2 linked regions of the Oreochromis niloticus genome follow. The protein of the gene in region 2 interacts with the protein of the main gene of each other region in a biochemical or structural test. Links are inferred from orthologs where the notes say so. Each region holds a gene or a part of one and is shown on either strand. Other genes may lie near its edges. The genes, in order: mycbp and akap1b.

Region 1 (3,924 bases), on a different chromosome or scaffold from region 2:
CAGATTCCATCCAAAGAGAACCTTTGATATTCACATCATAGATGTGCAGCAGCTGTGATGCTGATGAGGCCAATATGGACCAAGACCTGAGGAATGTTTCTGTGCCATGAAGAATTGGGCAGAAAGGCACTCCAATCAGGTAATGGCAGAATGTACCTATTAAAGTGGCTGGTGAGAGTACAGTTGTGGTCTTGGGAAAACTCCACTCGGTCACTTTGAAGGTTAATGATTTGGCAGAATGCAAAAAGCAGTGCAATCCTTTGTAGCCAGACACACTTCAGTCAGTAGCAGCGTCTGAATTCATCCATGATGAAGCTTTAATAACAAATGAAGAATTTCCATCAGGCTTGTGAACAGCATGCCCTAATTATTTTTTTAAAATTAATTTTACTTCATGAGTAGGCATTGAAGTTAATATCAATCTAAAAGGTCCTTAAAAACAAAGAATTTAAAGACTCTTTTTTTCTTCATGTGTAAGCAAAATCGAGGACCTTCATGACAGAGAGAAAGGCTGATGCTGAAATTTTTTTTATTTTAGAAAGCTTCTTGTTATACAACAAAAAAGTAACAGTGATTTTGCATTCACTGTACATCCATTATTCAATAAACAGTTACATACTCTACAAACAAGGCTTTAGTAACATTTTTCTTTTTATTCCTCCACAAAAGCAAAGACAACCTCTCTACTCTGCTGCTTCCCCATCAGGCGACGGTTCATACTGCATCAGCTGGAAGATGAAGAGGAAAACGAGAAGGTTAAAGGTCACAGAATCAGGACCAAATACAGACATGTGATTATCTGTAAACGCTCACCTTGCTCCTCAGCTCTTTGTTCTCCTCCATGAGCTCGTTGTATTTCTGTTGTAGATCAGCCAGCTCTGTACGAAGAGCCTCTGTGTCTGCTGGCTCTGGACCAGCTGCCCCAAGATGAAGCTTTATGAAACTGTTGCCATGGTTAAGGTTAACCAGTGCATGGAAATTTTAGTCATTAAAAATATCTAATTTCATTAGAGCAGAACAAGGTCCAACTCTGTTCAGCCTGTTAATTCAGGAGACAGATGATCCAGTTTGTAGGTATGGGAAACTGTTGCAGGAGAATGACTCCTTAGCTTAAGAACTGATGGCCTGTGACAGACTCACCCACTGCAAGTATGTGTGCAAGTAGATTAAATCAAATCCCCTGAACACATTAAAAAAAACTTACATTTTAAATTTGCTGCCATAACAAGAAACTAGCTTTTTCCACAATAACACAGCTGAGTGATTATTTGATCAAGTCTACATCCTTGCAGTTATACTGAGATGCACAGAACATCAGCATATCAATGAATTTTGATGGAGTTCATTTCCCCTCTCTACATGGCTGTAGAATTGGAGATGTTAAGATATTTATTGTGAATTAAAACTCAAAGTCTTAAAGGCTACCATTCATCTCTAAATGGAGCAGGAGTCACCTCATTGCCCATCTGAAGGTTTCAGGAGATGATGGTGCATTTAAATGATCAAATTGTCTGCAATCATAACATTTTAAGACTGATAATACCACAAACAGTGCAGTGGTTTAACCTCTAAACCTGTTTAGATTGAGTGAAATTTTGTGAAAAAGTATTTGCCAACTTCCAGATCTTATTTTTACACATTTGCTACATTTAAATATTTCACATGATCAAACAAAGAACCTGAATGTCCACTTCTTAATGACTCAAATAATAATTAAAGTTTTGGAAGGCTTTATCTAGTCAAAGTTTGGACTTAAAGTGGCAACTGAAGCTCAAAATCCCTCAAGTGTGGCTGAAGTAAAACAGTTTTGCAAAGAAGAGTGATCCAAAATTCCTCCACAGTGATGTGAAAGACTTGTTACTGGTTATACCAAACAGTTGCCTTTCTTGTTGGTGGCAAAACCAGTTATTAGGTTTAGGGGGAATCACTTTTTCCACATAGGGCCTGGTAGATCTGGATAACTTTTCCCCCTTAATAAATGAAATAATAATTTAAAACGTGCATTTTCCACTTACAGTTATATGTCCAATATTAAAACACATGAGATCTGAAACATACAAGTGTGACATATCTTTTTTGCTTTGAAGATATAGGTGAGCCACATCAGGAACTGATTGTTACCACCTGTGGTTGTAGTAAGGCTGCAAAAATGAGAAAAGGATACTCCAGGGCATTGTTAGGTTTCTCAGGCTCCTCATAAAGAGCAACTAAAACTGCAAGAAAGAGGGGGACAGCACGGATATCAGTAAAAACAAATTAAAAGACTATTTCACAGAATGTATTATCGTTAACGTCAACAGGCCGAACAGGTGGTCCATTTACCGCTTGTTAAGGTGTCGAGGACTCCAGATTTTTCGAGGTATCTTCTAAATTGTTCCCGCTTCGACTCAGAGGCCTGAAAAAAGACAAATAGTTGGATGACACATAAGTTAGGAGCCCATTCATACGCCGACATAAAGCAAGAACGCTTTAAAAACTCTGCACTCCCATGGTGCCTTCACTGCCTTCCACCGTGTTGACGAGCAGAGGTCATGTTGTTATGACGCTAGCTAGCTAGTTTGACAAACTTTAAATATTACCACGGAAAACATAACAACTACAGAAAGTAAGGCCAAAAATACTTACTCTATATTGAGCCATGACTTCAATAATAGCCGTGTAACTCCGGGTCGTCTACAATGTGCCAAACGGCCAATAACTTGAGACTAGCTGCAGCTGTTTGAATGCTAGGCAGGAGGTGACTCTGTTGCCATAACAACACATCCAACCACGCGGAAATGAAGTTTTTCCAATAAATAATCAGCTTGTAAAAGGAGAAGAAAGACCACAGAGTAGCTGTCAGAATAAGATAAATTTAAACAATAACGAAACGTAAGTTTTTCAGTTTACGAGCAAACTACTGAAATGCCTCAGACATCGAAACTAGACGATGAAGCTATGTTGCCAGATTTGCACCACAGACATACAGAACCTACCATAATATGATTTTTCGTCTTTTAGGCAACAACCCGCTATAATTGGGAAATAAAGCAAGCCGAATTTTGTGTTAGGAGCTCCTGTTTGCCATATACTACTGAGTGCTCTAAAATCGAGTAATGGATTGCTCTGATACCGAAGGTATCGTAAAAATGTCATAATTCACTGTCGAAGCTTTTTTTCCCGGGTTTCTACACTGGCATATTCGAGGTACTCTTGAGAGATATTGTCACCCTCGGGAAGAAAAAGTCAAATTTAATTTACAAATAAATACGTGCAACTTCTCTGCTTTTTGTATGTAATTTAGTTTTTATGTTTAAATGGCTTGGCCTCACTGCTGCCGCCCCTATCTGGCAACACGGAAGGGTGAACACAAGCCCTCACGCAAGCGCGCTACCAGCGCAACGTCCGATTTATAAAACATATGAGCTGCAGTCATTGGATAGTCTAAAACTAGGCGTGGCTTATCTACTGCGTTTTCAAATCGGCCCCTCCCAGAAGCTCATATGACGGGTGTAAAAACATCAGCACGGAAAGGAGTTTCTATTGTTTCACCGGCTTCAACATGACACCGATTGTCAAGTGTTAAGCCTCCTGTGCTTCTACCTCCAATAAAACCTAATGAATTATAGTTTTTAATCCTTCACAAGGTAAGCTGCTTTTGATCGATATCCCGTTAATCAGTGACACATTGTAGCTAAGCTGTTAACAAACATATCCTGGCTAGGACATTTAACAGGTAGGCTTTCTTTAATTGGAAACGTTTAAGTATATTAACACTTATTTAATGTGTCTGAATGTTGATATAGAGTTACAGTTACGTTATTTAGACATATTACACCATGCTGTGGTGTGTCTTAGTGTGGCAAAGATGAGTTGATTTAGCTCCGTTTCCTAAAATATTTAATGATATTCATCTACTGGAGGATGAACAGATGCTGTTTCTAA
Region 2 (3,924 bases):
ATTTAGCTGACTGAAATTTGGAATTATCGAACTGAGCTGGTTAAAGTGTCTCTTACTTTGCTGAATGATTTGCATTTTACGACAAAAGGCATCTCCTGATTTTTTATATTCTTTGTTTGATTGGCTGTTTTTGTTCACTCAGCCTATATTTGGTATCTATGACAGTTAAGAGATGTTCTCCCAATTAATTTTTTCTTATACCACTGGAAAGCCTGTTTATTTCTCCTTGATTGGTGCCACAGTTGTAACTAAAATGCATTTGTGGGTTGAGGATGTGGGTTGTATCCATGAAAACTTGCAAAGTGTTCTCTGCCAATGACTAATTACCTTAATTGTTGTGCTAAGTTTATTAAAAGTATATTTCTTTTTCTAAAAAAATATAAAACAATCTTGTGATCAAAACCTTTGTTCAATTTATTACTAAACATGTAAACAAACTTTACTAAGCAATGAAATGAACACAAAATAATTATACTTAAACTTATGTCAAGTATAAATGGGTTTCAACAGGGCATATAACAAAAGCCTTTGCACTTGTTTTTACTGCACTACAAACTTAAAGTATGTTTGAAAAAACAACAACAACAACAACAACAAAGAAAACCAAAATACAGTACTAATGCCTTAAAAGGAAATACTGCCCAGATAGTGAGGTACCTTCAGAGAGAGTTTGTACTCTGTGAGTGCTCAATGTTTGGTTTACTTTGAAAAGCAGTTTTGTGAGACTGGTCAGGTGTGTCTAAGTAAGGGCAGTTGATTTGGGCACAATGACTCTCTCTCGCTCTCAGCTTAAATAACAGAGGGATTTGCATTTTTGATTGGAAAGGGATTTATGACATTTTAAGGCTGGGTCAATGCCTTGAGCTCCTTGTCTTGATGTTAGAACTGTTTCTGAGCAGCTTTGCTGTGTGGAGGGGTACATTGTCCTGTTGGAGCTGTAGGGTTCTTGGTCTGCAATGCAAAGTGATATAAATAAATAAATAAATGCCATTATTTAAGGTTGTCCAGCAGAAAATTGTATAACAAAGACATGCACCAATTTAATTTTACTTATCACACAAGGTGCAAATCCTTCTGTTTGTAAAGTTGTGCTACTTCTAACGTGACCTTTGCCTTAATCTGATGACATTCATTTATATAGTAAAATTATATGAAAACGGTGCTCTGTCCCATCTGTACTCAAAAACGAATGTTATTTTTTCCCCATTTTTATAGTAGAGGTGACCAGGATGATATTAAATCTACCTATGAAACTGCATGAGCTTAACAGAAGAAACGTTTACCTTTACTGCATTCTCAGTTGACGCAAGACTCCAAGCGGCTTAAACTTTAGAGTATCGCGAGATTTGATCAGCTGTTATGTCTGCGTGTTTTTTTCCTCTTTTTTTTTTTAAGACTGGTACTGGTCTGTCAAACACGTGGGGAGGAGAGTGTGACTTTCCACTAGCGTACGTTTCAAAAAAGCTCACGTTGTTAGTGTTGCTATCATCGTTGCGGTACCGAGGACCCAAAAACATTGTAAGTAAAATAATTAGTCCGGGAAGGAAATGGCACACTGAAAAAAGAGACTGTTAGCTTTTAGTTTTCTATGTATTGCATGCATGGTTCGGTTTCATTCACATTTATGTGAGTATATTTTAGGGGAAAAGACATTCACTTGCATTTCTAGTGTTCTCTGTGGGTCGTCAAATGTTTATTGTGTCACCATGTGATCCCATGTCATTGAAAAACTAGCCTACAAAGCAACTCCTCCTAACTTGCCATTCAGAACAGCACACGTAGCTTCTGTTGTAGAAGTTACATTTTCGCACTTGCTTTGTATTGTTGAGCTGTGCACGTGCCAACGTAGGAGCATTGGTTCTTGGATAATAATAAATGCATTTTGGCCCAGAGTTGGGAGTCATTGTCGCCAGGCCGGCTAGCAGGCTAGCATGAAGGTCTAAGGCCCATGCGGGGCATTGGCAGTCTTTGGCTTCAAATGTCCTTTAACCCTGCATCGATTAGAGATACCCCCTCGTTGGTGCAGTTGGGTATAGTTAACGACTACGTATCACACAGCTTTATGTTGTGGCCCAGTACGTCTGTAAGTCGGGGATATGAAACTCTGAAGTGGCTTTAATAATGTAGCCACATACGAACGTAGTCTAAAAATAATACAGTGCAGGGAACATGCCATTAGCTTATCTTTTTTCATGTTTAGCTAGCGTTAATTTTCATAAACGTCAAAGCCACTGTGGTTGCTATGTAGCTAACTTCATGCTTTGTATCCTGCACTGCGGCCTCCTTAAACAGCCATGCTGTATTTCGTGTTTGCATTAGGTCACAGCCATCTCTGCTACAGGGTTTCATCCCAGACGGTGCCAAACTCCCTATATGCATTTGTCGTATGGGATTTAACATCTTATTGGCTGCAGGTTTTTCAGTTTAGTACGGGGCATAACTTCGCTGTTGGATATTTTTTTAGAATCTGAAAAATTCGGCATTAAAAAAGACCTGGCAGCGTAAAGTAAGTTAAAGTTCTTATAAATTGCTGCCTGCTCATAAGCAGGGTCTAAGTATATATTTTTGCGCTTCTTTCGAAGGTTATTTAGGTTTTAGTTGGCTAATGCAAAGAACTGTGAGGGATCCCCTTATAAAGACAAAATGAATCGCTTGAGTCACAAGTGAAAATGTTATTTTGGTATGCACAGTGAATTCATTTTTCCTTACCATATAGTCATGTAACGTTAAACTTCGAGAATTATATATGAAATTCACATTGTGGCCTTTGTACTTCCTAGCTAGCTAATTGTGTTAGCCGGTCTGTGGCGATGGAGTGCATGACCACACGCCACGGTTTTGTTTTGTTCTTTTGTTTTTTTTGTGTGTGTGTTTGTTTTTATGCTGGGACAGAAAGCATCGCCACTAGCATTATAGGGAACTACACAATGTCCTACAGTTGTAGTATTAAGGCATAGCTAGCTGAACGCTTTTAGCATTTATTGAGTCGTTGCTGAAAGACGGCTGGGGTGTTGAGGCGCACCTTCTGTACATCACTGGAGCCTGGGTCACATGTAAAGTGGACTGGTATGTGGCTGTAGCAACTATCAACGCCACCTAAGTTTACTAAGTTGTTAGTAGCAGCATGGCTCCTGTAAGGTCTTGACTTTTGCCCATAGGGTATGCAAGACTTGACAGCATATTGTATTAATATCCCGGTCAGTCTGCAATTCGGTTTGTTTACATAAAATAATTTGGTTTTCATTTATTTAAAAACAGTGTCACATTCATTGTTAATTTGTCGTAGTGTTGATGGTGAGTCCCAAGGTTCATTTAACATGAATGATGGTGATTAAAGGGATATGAGAAAATGTATGACATGAAGAATAAAGTTTAAACGCAAACAGGTGGGAATTGAGTGACACTGAACTTGTTGGTATGCAGGTATTTTGAGGCCGCATAATAATTTTACACTAGTCTGTCTGTGCTGGCATGATGTAAGATTTAGAAGGTGTAAAATAGTTTAATCATTCCTGTTTGAACAGCCAAGGTCACAGTAAGAGATGATCTTACAGTTTATAGACAGTCTTGACTATAAGGCCAGGAAAGGAACCAATAAAGACTTGTCTGACCTGTAAGGATAGCTCTTCATTTTACAGCTTGTTGCTTCCATTGTGACCTTTATATGGTGAGTGTGTTGTCCTTGGATTTAACAGCAACACACACAAGCTACACATGAAGTCTGGGAGCTTCATGTGTTGCATCTTTGCTGGTCCTTTCCGGACAGATCTTAAATGTTACTCCTGGGATCTGCTGGAACCACTCGCCCAGTTTGGGAGTCACTGCTGTAAGTGCTCTGATTGCCACTGGGACTGCTGTTGCCTTTACCCATCACTTATTCTCTAGCTCCTCTCTCAGCCATTGGCATTTCTCAAGCTTTACATA

Evidence for each region.
Region 1: the proteins of akap1b (region 2) and mycbp form a complex in vitro, tested with the Homo sapiens proteins (2 studies listed by BioGRID). The link is inferred for Oreochromis niloticus from reciprocal best matches to the Homo sapiens genes AKAP1 and MYCBP.

The regions. Positions count from the first base shown.
Region 1 is NC_031985.2:11,668,052-11,671,975, reverse strand, and holds mycbp (C-Myc-binding protein), read right to left. Parts: upstream 2,949-3,924; 5' UTR 2,641-2,948; coding exon 2,626-2,640; intron 2,396-2,625; coding exon 2,323-2,395; intron 2,214-2,322; coding exon 2,165-2,213; intron 944-2,164; coding exon 814-943; intron 729-813; coding exon 684-728; 3' UTR 513-683; downstream 1-512. UniProt on the Homo sapiens protein: May control the transcriptional activity of MYC. Stimulates the activation of E box-dependent transcription by MYC.
Region 2 is NC_031979.2:5,263,202-5,267,125, reverse strand, and holds the start of akap1b (A kinase (PRKA) anchor protein 1b), read left to right. Parts: upstream 1-1,365; 5' UTR 1,366-1,518; intron 1,519-3,924.